2 linked regions of the Schizosaccharomyces pombe genome follow. The protein of the gene in region 1 interacts with the protein of each later gene in a pairwise test. Each region holds a gene or a part of one and is shown on either strand. Other genes may lie near its edges. The genes, in order: spt16 and abo2.

Region 1 (5,678 bases):
TCATCGTTTAGGTGTACGTAATGCTATTGTATGTAATTACGATGGCCGCAAGTTTCCCAACGAAGTAATTGGCGGTTTTGACCGTGTTCTCCTTGACGCCCCATGTTCGGGTACTGGTGTTATATATAAAGATCAGTCTGTTAAAACTAACAAATCTGAAAGGGATTTTGATACTCTTAGCCATTTACAAAGGCAATTGCTTCTAAGCGCTATTGATTCTGTCAATGCTGACAGCAAAACCGGTGGTTTTATCGTGTATTCTACTTGCAGTATTACTGTTGACGAAGATGAAGCAGTTATTCAATATGCTTTAAAGAAGCGCCCTAATGTTAAGCTAGTGTCCACTGGACTTGAATTTGGACGTGAAGGGTTTACCCGTTTTCGTGAAAAAAGATTTCATCCAAGTCTAAAGTTAACTAGACGTTATTATCCTCATGTTCACAATATAGACGGTTTTTTCGTTGCCAAACTGAAAAAGATTTCTGATAAAATCCCTACTGTAAATGTGGCTGATGATATGAAGGATGGAACAAATAATGATGTTGAAATTGAAAAGAATTCTACTGAAATTGATAATATTACTTTCAATGATGAAGCCGATAAGGAGATTATCGAGCAGAATCGTCGCAAATGGTTGAAGTCTAAAGGTTATAAGGTTGCAAAAAAAAAGGATTAGAATAATTTTGGTTAGGTTGGGATTACACAATAAAAGGTAACTGAACATTGATTCGCGTGTTACTACAACAATTATATTAATAGGTTGTCGTAAAGAGCCGGTCTTTATATTTTTGTATCAATCCATCTGGTTGTCAAATCTCAATTCAGTGGAATATTTTATTATAAAGTATTCTGGAATTTTTAGAATAAACTACATATAAATAATAAGAAAGTGAAGTAAATTTGTGAGTTTACCGGTGTCTCTTTTTAGATGGTCTTTCTTCAAAAGCATCGTGCTTAGCATCTTCTTGACGTGCTTTACGCTCCAATTCATCCCAATCTTCACCACTTTCTTCATCCTCCACTTCGCTTTCACTGTAACCATCCTCTTCACTAGCATCTTCGCTGTACTCCTCAGATTCTTCTTCCTCTTCATCAGAAGGGTCGGCATCAGAAGCTTCATACTCAGAAACCTCTTCGACACTATCATCTCCTTCATCATCACTCGGAGCTCCCAAAAATCCCCATCCTCCTTCTTCAAAGAATGCAATGGGGTCCTCGTTGACAGTTTTCATAATCGTGGTCCAGTTCAAATTAAGAGGACCTTCATAGAAGCATATATCGCATGAATCGAGCCATTCCTTTACATTATCTAATTGCTCCATTGGAATTGTATTGATATGAATCGGAGGGCGGCGGAAGTCTTGAAAGATGAAAACCAAATCAAAATTTTTTAAACCAAATTGTACACGCTCCAAGTGTGCAATTTCAATTTCGTTTAGTGTAATTACAGTAAATGGTGTGTCTGTCAATTGAACTAGGCAATCAGTAGTCGGCTGCAATAAAACATTGGAACGGAAGGGAACACCATTGAATGCAAGTTCGCGAAATGGAATGTCTAATTCAATTCGTCCCTCACTTGCTTCAGCGATTTTTTCAGCAAATGATTTAAATTCGCGATCTAATTGAGCACGACGCCGTCTTTCTTCTTGTTCTTGCTCCAATTCATCTTCATCACCATACATGTATTTCCGCTTCTTGTTTCCAGTTTCGTCAAACTGAATATCAGAAACTTCGCGATAAAATTGCACGTCCTGGGTCTTCCTTTTTCCCACCATGATCGGAGCTTTCAGATGAACATGAATAAGAACGATAAGCTCGCCTTCACATGGCTGGAAAAAGAGATGCTTCATATTAGAAAACAAAAGATCAATGTGGCTATCTGAACGTAATGGCGATTGATACCGAATACCATTTTGGTGTATCTCAATGAATCCAGGCAACCGTTTCCCGTCAATAGCAGGGCGAACGTAAACATCATTTATATGAGCAGGTCTCTTGTTCTTTATTTCAATTAATTTATCTTGCTCAATAACATCAGCAAACTCCTTACGTTCAGTTTCACGCTTGGTAGCTGCTTTCTTCATATCTTGGATGTCCTTGAATACTTGCGACATTCTAGAATTATTTGAACTTCTGAAAGTAAAGCTTCGTATGAATTGGGCATTAGGGTCCTCAAACGGTAACTCATCCTTTTTACCGCCAATCTGGCCAGGACTTACGAAATTTAGTCGTAAATACACAAAATTTCCCTCATCGTTTTTACTAGCATTTTTTAAAGTAGATATATGGAACGGGACAGGCCGACCGAAAATGGGTAAAATAATACTTTGAGCTCGATAATCTACTAGAATACGTAACTCACCAATTGCTTGTGGAAGTTGCGAGTCACGCTTGTACGACTCAAATCGTTTGACAGTGGGTTTTTCGATGCCGCTAGACGGAACAGAACCTTGAGCAAATCGTTGCAATCCCTCAGCCTGTTTTCGCGATGCTAGTTGCTTTTGATGCTCAACACGCCTCTTTTCAGCAGAATCATCCAAGTCTCTGGTTTCACTTCGAGTCTTTCCTTTATGACTTGATATAGTTGCCGTTCCCCGAGTAGGTGGTTTGCGTGGCTTTACGCCGTCTTCAAGAGAAGAATCATCTTCACCAAAGAAGTAGGATATATCACCTTGAGCTTTTGGAGAATCAGTAAATACGATTGGATCACTTCTTGTTATTTGAATTGTGTCAATCAATAAAAGAGCATACTCTTTAGACTGAGAATTTTTAGGATGAGGATTAATCAAATTCCCAAATCCAATGCTAAGATTTAGAGTCATCCCGGCTTGAAGAACGCGTGGGTTTTTGGCATTTACTAAAAGTGAAGATTCGCGAAATTCAATGCCAATGCCGGCACCTAGATTTCTTACAAAATTAGGTTCGAGATCAGGACGTTTAGCACGTATAAGACCCAAAATTTTCGTATATATGTCCCCAATAACAGCGCCATCTCTGCAGTATTCGAACAACTTTTTCTGAAGCGCTACTAAAAAAGAGTAATTTTTCTGTTGTTCGGAATCAGGATCAAATAAATAAGTGCGACCAACATTAGAACAATACGATTTGTAGCGAAACCCTAAAGAGCATAGGACGACGTCCCCATGAAGATTTCTATCATCTGTTATAGCAGAAGGCTTCAAATCATAACTACCCCCCGATTGAATAATGGGAGTATAACACCACTCTAGTTGATCCAAGTCTATGTCTCCTAGTTTCAAAGATTTTGTTTGAAAAAAAGCCTCGTTATCAATAAGGCTTTCCATCTGATCCGAAAACTTAGAGTGAGTTATTTTTTTTCCTTGGTCAATATAAGTCGAAAGTTCATCAACAAAATATTTACTCATAACCGCAACACTAACCCGCGATGCTCCTTTTATATTAGCAAGTTCTTGTTCGTCCTTTATAGCAAGACACTTTGCTAAGCCAAGCGATGCATCCACAAGATTAAATTCTGATTTCACTGGTTCAAAAATTGAGTCCCATTCATTAATGAATTTTCCTTGTGTTTTATCCTTAGGAAATACTCCGACCTTTTTATTGGTGGCTCTAATATACTCTATTATTTTTTCAAAAAGCTTTTTATTTTCCTCAGCATCTTTCGTTCTCTTCAAGATGTTAACGTCAGCTGCAGCCCCCTTGGTTTCAGCCAATTTCGTTAACATATTGGCCTTGTTAACTGATGTAAGGATTGTGATTCGATGCTTTTCAAGAAGTATTAAAGTCGATGGAAATTCATAACCCAAGAGCCATGTATGTAGTGCAGTGGACTTTTGATATGGATTCGTATCATCATGAGCCCCTACTGTTACTAAAATACTGTCGCAGTCTTGAAACAGCGTCTTTCCGTCTTCCTCATTCTTCCAGGAGGTAAGAAGTATGCCCAAGCGTTTATGAAATGTAATTTCGTCTATTTCATATTCAGCCATTTTACCTTTAATTAACGATTTAAGATATATTCACTCTTTAGCGAATAGTTATTTTATCTGAAAGGGCAAAAAGGCTTTTTCTTACAAAATTTCTTAAAATTTTGTAAAAAAGAAACAGGAATTGTTTTATTTTTTTTTTATTGATTGATAGCTTTTTTTGATATCTTGTGGATGGAGGTGGGTAAGTGGTAGTACTTTTGAATGTAGATATATAGGGCTGGGATTTCTGCGACGCGACTCGACTTACGCTGCATGTGTTCTAGCTTGATTATTTGAGCTTGTTAATGTTTATAATAGACCACAAGCATCATAAAAAAATAAAATTTATTTATTTATTTTTTGGTTCTTCAAGAGCAGGATGAATATCACGCTTTGCTGTATATAATCGTAAACGGTTGGACAAGCTTTATAATTTTTGGAGCACGAATACTATACATACATGTCTGAATACGTCTACGTACATATATGAGCTGTAGTAATTTAAAAAATCATTTACCTACGTCAAGCAATCCAAAGACAATAGATATTACTTAATGCTTTAGTTATTGAAAAGTGGCACAAATTCTGGAGCACTCAGCTTTAAACGGATTAAATTGATTTGCTTGGTAAAATGAACTGAGTAGAACAAATTATAAAACTACAACGCAAAACTAGTAAGCCATTTATAAAGATCATTTTTACCCGGTATACCTTTGCTTTAGATGAAACTAATTTTGAAATGCACCATTAAAAATAAGGTATATTAAGTGGTTTGTAACCCTTTTACGCGACTAACCAGTTAAATACCAATTTTATCTTAAAAGTATATACGGTATTATCCCCATGAAATTTTTAAAATGTTTTGTATAGCTGACGAACATCGTATTGAAGTGTTTTTGGCTTAAAGACAAAATTTAGTTTACTAAATCTTCAACCGTTACTGGTGGTAGTTTTAATTATACATGGCTAAATGGATCAGCAACTTTATTGTTAATTTAAATAATCCATAAGGAGCGATATCTTAAGCTTCGGAACAAATAATAGCAAGAAATACGTTTCATATCTGGTTATCATGATATTTTTGTCTTTCCAACCAGTGAAGTCAATAAAAATATAAGTTCTTGGGTCAACACGGAGTAACAAAATATACAAATATCTTAAATATAACTTTGTTGTAAGCCTTATTGGTGATATAGGGTATGGCTTAAAATTCAAAAAACGAATTTACAATTTATTAGAATTTGTTCAATATTTTTTATGAAACTTACCACGAAATACTGGATATAGTAATAATATATAGTAAATGCAAAATATGCGCTGCTATTAAAATCAATTTCTAGTGCTGATCCAGGTAATGCCACATTTCATGAAGAAAACAAAAAAACGAATATCCAGATCCTTATATCATGGATCTCATCCATTTTATGTAGGCAGAAAAACGAACTACTACTACGAAAAATGGGGTTCGGTTATATGAGTCCGTGAAAAAACGGCGCTTACATACACACGAACACTCATGCATATATAAAGAGTATGTTTACAAAACAAATAAAACGTTTTTTGTATCACAAAACCTCAAATTGGGTCTACTTGAGTTAATATCGTCTTTTTTGCGGTATATTTGTTCTCAATCCCTTTTCTTTCTGAGAATCCTTTGCATACCAAATTCGCTATTTGCTGAGGAAAATTTAACACATAAATTCTGCTTTATAACTATATTTAGGACCATTT
Region 2 (6,855 bases), 2.2 Mb from region 1:
TAAGTATTATTCGAATGCGTAAAACATTTGCTAAAATGTTTACACGTATTTACATTCAATTCTTCACCCTTGAATTTACACGGGTAATTTAATTAATTAAAGGGTTAAGCTGATCAATTGAACATTTTCATGTTGCGAAGTTATGAGTATGCTAATCTTTAATATACGTGTTGCTAGGCATAAGGCGTTGTTGTCTCGAATTGTTTCAACAAATATGTTCAATCCTATGTTTAGGTCATTGCGTCCAATTCAGAAGTCTTTCTCGGAAATATCAATATTGAGAGTGTTTAATAAGCCGCCCATCAAAAAATTCCATAACTCTAACATACTGAAAGATATTACCTCAAAACGGAATGCAACCCCAGCGAAAATTGCTTGGCAAGCAATGACAACTCGGGAGCCTTTTCTTGTATATCAAGCAAAAGCAGATAAGAAAATCAGTCTTATTTATTTATTAACTGTCGGGATGCTTATAAATGTCTGTGTGATTACTTCTTTTGCCAGTGTTGACATATATCGCGCAAAAGATGAGATATTTGCCAATTGGGTCGATATGGATTATTACGAGAAATTATCTTATATTGGATCTGCTTTTATTACTCCTGCTCTTTACTTTACTTTAACGTTGATTTTATTTTTACCAAGACGAAATATTTATTCAATTTCTACCTTACCATCCCAACGGTTTGAAATTGTAACTGGATTTTTATCACCATTTAACAAGCTTTATTTTTCTAAATCATTAATTGTTCCAAGAAAAGACGTATCAATCGTTACTTACTCCCTACAGAAAAACCCAATCACTCTGAAAATTCGCGATCGTCCATTTTACTATCTTTTAAATGCAAATGGAAAATATGCTGGTAATTCAAAGGACGTACTATTCTGTGTCATCGGAAACCGATATTAGCTTTTCAATTTCAAATGTATCTTCTTTCGTGGTTCCTATCTTTTATTGTGAGCTTTCATTCATTACCAACTATCATTTAGATTTGTTGTATCTCACTAACAGATCGCTTAGACACATTAACCCAAAATTTCATTAAACACCCATATCCTCAAGCGACCGAAAGAAAGTTTGTCTTACATCCCGAACTATCTTAAGAAGATCATGCTCCTCACGATTTTCCCAAATAGTGGATGACAATTTGGAATAAACAAAATCTAGTAGTTCCACCTTATTAAAATTGGTATGTTCAGCAAATTCCTCTGCACATTTTGCCAAGGTTTTTTGAATATTTACGTTATCGTATTTTTTGTTCTCTTCTTTGTGTTCAACACCAGTCCTGCTAGGTGGAGTGACAGCAATCAAATTGTTATGAGTAAGTGATTGTCCATGAAATAAAGTATGTTTATGTTCATCATTAGAAACGTTGCGAACCTCATTTGACGAAAGCTCAATGAAATTGTCTTCTTGTGCAACATCGTTTCTCACAAATGTTTCTTCATTCTTTGATTCTTGCATCTCATGAGCATCCTTTGCATTGTTCAGTTTTTTTTGTTTTAGTTGTTTATATGCCTTTTCCCTCTTGGAGACTTGACAACAATCATACAACAGCTTTGCATCAATCAACTCATCAACATTTAATTCGGCATGCGCAAACATTTCTTTGGCTTTGTGTTTGAGGTTCACGTCGCCAGACAGGATCGCATCTTGTTTGATCATTTTGATATCACGCAAAAACTCTTTAGGAGTACAGTAACGTCCACTCCATAAGCGTCTTTCAATTTCCTCAAAGTTCATCATTTTGAAACAAGCATTGTCTTTTTTACGAGTGACTGTATTTCCTGAAAGGAAATACTCAAAATTATCCTTCGATTTTCCTTTTACCACCCTTTCGTTCGACTCATCAATGTAAATGTCATTTAAATCTATTATCGGTTTTTTGAACTTTTTATAACGAGAGCGAAGCATTTCAAGTATTGAGCTAAGTTTAACCTGAATTTTGTTTTTTATTTTCTTGTCGTTCTTTCTTTGTCTTCGGTTTACTTTGTCGGTTAAATCTGATGTTTTAGAAACTGGTAGTACTTTGGGTAAAATATCAACGCTTGCTGCTTCGGCGCTCTTTTGGTGAATGGGAAGGAATGAAATACGTTTAAGCAAGTAATGGAAAAAAGAGTATCTTGATGAATAATCAGGAAACGACAAGTCATGATATTCGCTTCGATGAGAAGGAAACCAGGAGCGGACGGTAGACGACAATTTTTCTTGATTAGTATTAGCAAACCCCAGTAACATGACAGGTTCTAAAGGGGAAATTGAATCTAATAAAAGAAGGAACATTGACAAAAAGCTATGTGAAAATAGAGATGGCCATTTTTCTACGTTATTGATAAATATAATACTTGGCGCATTTTTTCGGGCTTCAGAGAATATCTTGGTTAACAAAGACCTCGGAGATGTGGTTGTGTCCATTAACAACTCAGAAATATCCAAAGACTGCACGTGGATACCATCTAACATAGAGAAAAGCACTTTGCTTAAATAAGTACATCCATATCCATAAATATCAGTAATCAATAGTCTTGGGCGGAATGACATGGTAGTTTTTAGAGAGTTAATTTCTTTTTGCCTCATCAACTCTTCAGCAGGAAGTTTTTGTAAAGACTCGACCGTTGGTAAATATACGTCAAGTTTTAATAGTCGTCTAATTTTTGACGTTATAACCTCAATACTTTTCTTAAACAGAATTTTGTGGGAATCCGTAATAGGTATATTCGGCTTAACATCACTTCTTCGTGTAGAAACAGCAATCTTCTCAGATGCGACTACAAAATCGCAAATGCTAACGGATATTTCATTCAGGTCAATTAAAAATTTGTCAGAAGATGTGTAAATTTGGGGGAAGGTGCGTCGAACTGCATTAAGGGCTGCTTCGGTGCATAAAGCTTTTAAATCTGCTCCACCATAACCAGACGTAGATTCCGCTAAGTGTAATAAGTAGCTCTCTGGTATTTTTGGAGAAAAATGTAAAGAATTGATTTCAAGAATTTTCATACGTGCTTGCTTATTTGGTAGAGGGAAGTAGAATTCGCGATCAAATCTACCGGGTCTCCTTAAGGCCGGGTCAAGATCGTTGGGACGATTAGTAGCACCAATTACTACTACTTGTCCACGCGTATCGAGGCCATCCATTAAAGCAAGCAAGGTGGAGACAATGGAACTGTGAGTTTGCTCTTGTTTTGAAGATCGAATAGGAGCAAGCCCATCTATTTCATCAAAGAATATGATGCTGGGTTGTACTCTTCTAGCTTCTTCGAATAAAAGCCTAAGTTGCCTTTCTGCTTCGCCAACCCATTTGCTTAAACAATCAGACCCTTTTCTCAAGAAGAAACTAATTTTTTGATTTTTGGTCGAGCAGTTAGCGGCCAACACCCTAGCCATTAGTGTTTTTCCAGTCCCTGGAGGACCATGAAACAAGACACCTCTAGGAGGTGTGATGTGCAGATGTAAGAATACTTCTGGATATAACAAAGGAAGCATCACCATTTCTTTCAGTTGAAGTATAATATCTTCCAGTCCTCCTATGGAATTGAAATCAAGATTTTCCCTATTGGCAAAAGGGTCAGTACTTCTAATCGTCTTTTCGTCTATGTGACCAAAGTGAAGTTGAGAGGAGGGAGCATTCTCAATATCTGAACTAGCGCCCAAATTATTGTAAGCATTAAGTCCTTCAACGTCGGAAGTTTGCTCTGAACTTGTACTGCTCAACTCACTCGTTTCATCACTATCGCAAGTACTTTGATAACCGATGGGAAGAGTAGCAAAATCTTTCATAGGCAATTTTGGCGGATTATAAGTAATCTTCGTTGTTGAAGGATTTGGGGAAGATGCAATTTCGTTGTAATAGTCAAATAAATGATAATTCGGTCGATTGTCACGACTACGAAGTTTGCGTCGGAAATCTGGTGAATTTCGCTCAGCGCGAAGAGGACTCATTGCCTTCTTGACCCTTAAATTTTTTTTAACTGGCAAAATTGGACCTCTCATTTTTCTTTTTCTACGTCCTCTTCTACTTGGAATGGGTGAGCGCACTTTTGTCAAATCATCAGGGCTATCCGCGAAGTCAGAATCACTGGCGTTCGAAGACTCAGGATCACTTTGTCCATCTACGTAGTCTTCATCTAAATAATCACCATTTGTTGATTCTGTTGGAGCTTTTGGATACGAAAAGGTTTTTGAAGAAGTAAGATATGATTTCGGACTTATCAAATCGTCTTCTTCATCCTTAAAGGTAGTGGATTCGTCCTCATTATTATCAGTGTCTAGCTCTTTATCATTTCCTTCCATTTGAAGGTTACTACTTCCATTTCTGATACCATCAATTTGATGTTCAGTACTCTTCTTTCCCAATGATGCATCATTGAATGCCGCAGAAGGCTTTGAAGGATTTTCTATAGAAACAGAAAAAGAAGGCGTTTCTGTGTTTAGATGTTTCTGTAACGAAGAGAATTTTCTATTTCTTTGAGTTTCACGCACTGAAACTAACTTTTGTTTATAGGAGGAAGGATCAAAATGTGAAACTTTTATATGATTTGAATGATCCTCTGATTTTTCGCTGTGTGCGTTGGAGTAATAATCATCATCTTCTTCATTATCTTCATTATCGTCAGAACTAAAACGAATGGATCTGGCCCTTCTGCGCATTGCACGCAAAATGCACTGCTGGCACCAACAAATTAAGACGTTGTCAACTTGGTTAAGACAATTTGTTATGTAGATTTTTTATTTACAATTGCACAATTAAAGGCTCCAAAAAATTTGGGATATCTTAGGTTTTCCACATGCTGGTTTACGAATGGAAGGTTTGTAAGGAAAAGTAAATAAATGAAGTTCGTAACAATGCGTTATAAGAAAAGGAAAGCACATAGTAGAGTAAGTGGATTTTTGGACTAAACAACAGAAGTAGTATCTTTACAAAAACAATATTGTTTAAAAATTGACTTTTCTGAGATTATTTGTCCACGATCAGTTTAGTACATTGGTAATATCCATACATTGATGCATTGTTTACAGACATGTGGATAGATTTGAAATTCTATGAGGATAAAAGTTCATTGCCAACTTCGAATCTTGAGCTTCACTTGACGTTCCTCACTGATATAGTATTTTTTTTTATTTAATTGATTGTCAGTGTTTCGTCGTTTCGCTGTTAATTGAAAGGATGAGAAGAATTTATGCAAAGAGTATTATTTTATAATCTCTTTGAAAACTTACTATTCATAATCCGTAGTTTTACGTCTCATATTAGATTGATATAATGAACAAAGGTAGAGATCGGTACGGCTTTTTTTATTTTTTTATTAAACCAAAAGGTCTTTTAATTTCCTAATTACATTGGCATTCAATACAGATCCATTGAAATTCGATCAATATTGATTTCATTTTTAAAATAGTGTCCTTAAATTTCCTTAATGTTTGAATTCAGTATTTATTATTATTACTAATTCTATTGTTTCATCCAATTTACATGCAATTTATAGCTTTATTATATTTTATTTATTTTTTTATTTTTTTTTTGGAAAAGCAATTGAAGCTAGTCAAATTGGAAAACTGAAGCCAAACACCTAGTGTTAAAAAATTTTATATTTACTAAGTGTAGTACTACAAAAATCGTTTAACAAGGCCTCAAGAAACTCAACCAATATACATATATTTTTTAAATTCATCGAAATATTCGCATTTCATGGAGTTGATAAAAACTTTGCTACCGTAGAACTAAGTAAGTGTAATGTAAACAATAAGCAAAAGACATTAAAACGACTTAAAAAATGAAAATAGCAAACTAATATTATTCAGACATAGTTTATCACAAATTTGAAAGGAAAAAGCAATAATTAATAAAATAATTTTCGCAAAACAATTAAAGAATTCCAATTTCCTACATACTTTGGCTAAATAAATAAAAAAAGTGAACCACTTTTTTTTATCTAATCAAAAAATATATATATTTTAAACAAAAATTGTATTTTTTACTCTTATTATCTACCCTATCTTTTCGTAAAGGATACATGACGGGAGCGGATTAGTATATTGCTATCATCCAAAGCCTTGTATTATTGACTGATTATACTACTAACCATATCTTCATACTACCAACTCCAGCCTTCCTCCTATTTCACTCTTGTTTTAAACGATCAATAACTCAAAACACCATTAATCTTTACCGGGCATATTTGCCATATAAAAATTCTTATACGTATTCGAAAGCGTTAATATTTGGTGAATTTAAATTATCTTTCAAATCCTCCATTTATACCGTAAAGAATTTGTATACTCCTTTCTTTTTCCATTTTCTTATACTTGCGAAATCGTTATAAGTGATCTTTTACTTGTTCTTGTATATCTAAAAGTTTTGTTGGTTGTTATAAAATTTTGTGGATTCGGCTTCTTTACCACATATCTTTTTAAAATTCTCGTTTATTTCCATAACAAATAATCATCGAGCTTGATTTAAGATACTAGGCGCTTTGTTTAAATCCAAATTCTTTTTAAAATTCGGTTAACCTGTCTTACAGCTTTTGGCTGGTAATTAATTAATTGTGTTGTGCAAATATAACAGACCGAATTCCAGTATCCAGCTTCTGTCCAGGCTTCTTGTCTCAATTTTTACCTTCATTTTTCCATATTATCATTAGAATGACTCGGAAAACTATCATTGTTGGGGTTAGGTAAGTTCTACAGGCAATTGTTTTAATGAATTTTTATTAACAAGAAAAAATTAGTGGTGCCTCTTGTAGTGGAAAATCGGTATGATAATTTTGATTAATAAGAAAGAATAAAATAAAATCAAAAACTCCAAAATAAAAAAAAAATGAAGTACTAACCAATTTCTCTTTCTTGTTTTGACAGAC

Evidence for each region.
Region 2: the proteins of spt16 (region 1) and abo2 interact in a two-hybrid assay, tested with the Schizosaccharomyces pombe proteins (one large-scale study listed by BioGRID).

The regions. Positions count from the first base shown.
Region 1 is NC_003423.3:3,669,749-3,675,426, reverse strand, and holds spt16 (histone H2A-H2B chaperone, FACT complex subunit Spt16), read right to left. Parts: upstream 4,148-5,678; 5' UTR 3,969-4,147; coding exon 909-3,968; 3' UTR 805-908; downstream 1-804. Other genes in the region: RNA methyltransferase Nop2, read left to right, coding at 1-676.
Region 2 is NC_003423.3:1,437,925-1,444,779, forward strand, and holds abo2 (ATPase histone chaperone), read right to left. Parts: upstream 4,798-6,855; 5' UTR 4,649-4,797; coding exon 1,043-4,648; 3' UTR 911-1,042; downstream 1-910. Other genes in the region: SPOM_SPBP22H7.04 (uncharacterized protein), read left to right, coding at 143-910; nrk1 (nicotinamide riboside kinase), read left to right, coding at 6,641-6,672, 6,727-6,751, 6,854-6,855. UniProt on the Schizosaccharomyces pombe protein: Probable ATPase which may play a role in nucleosome organization.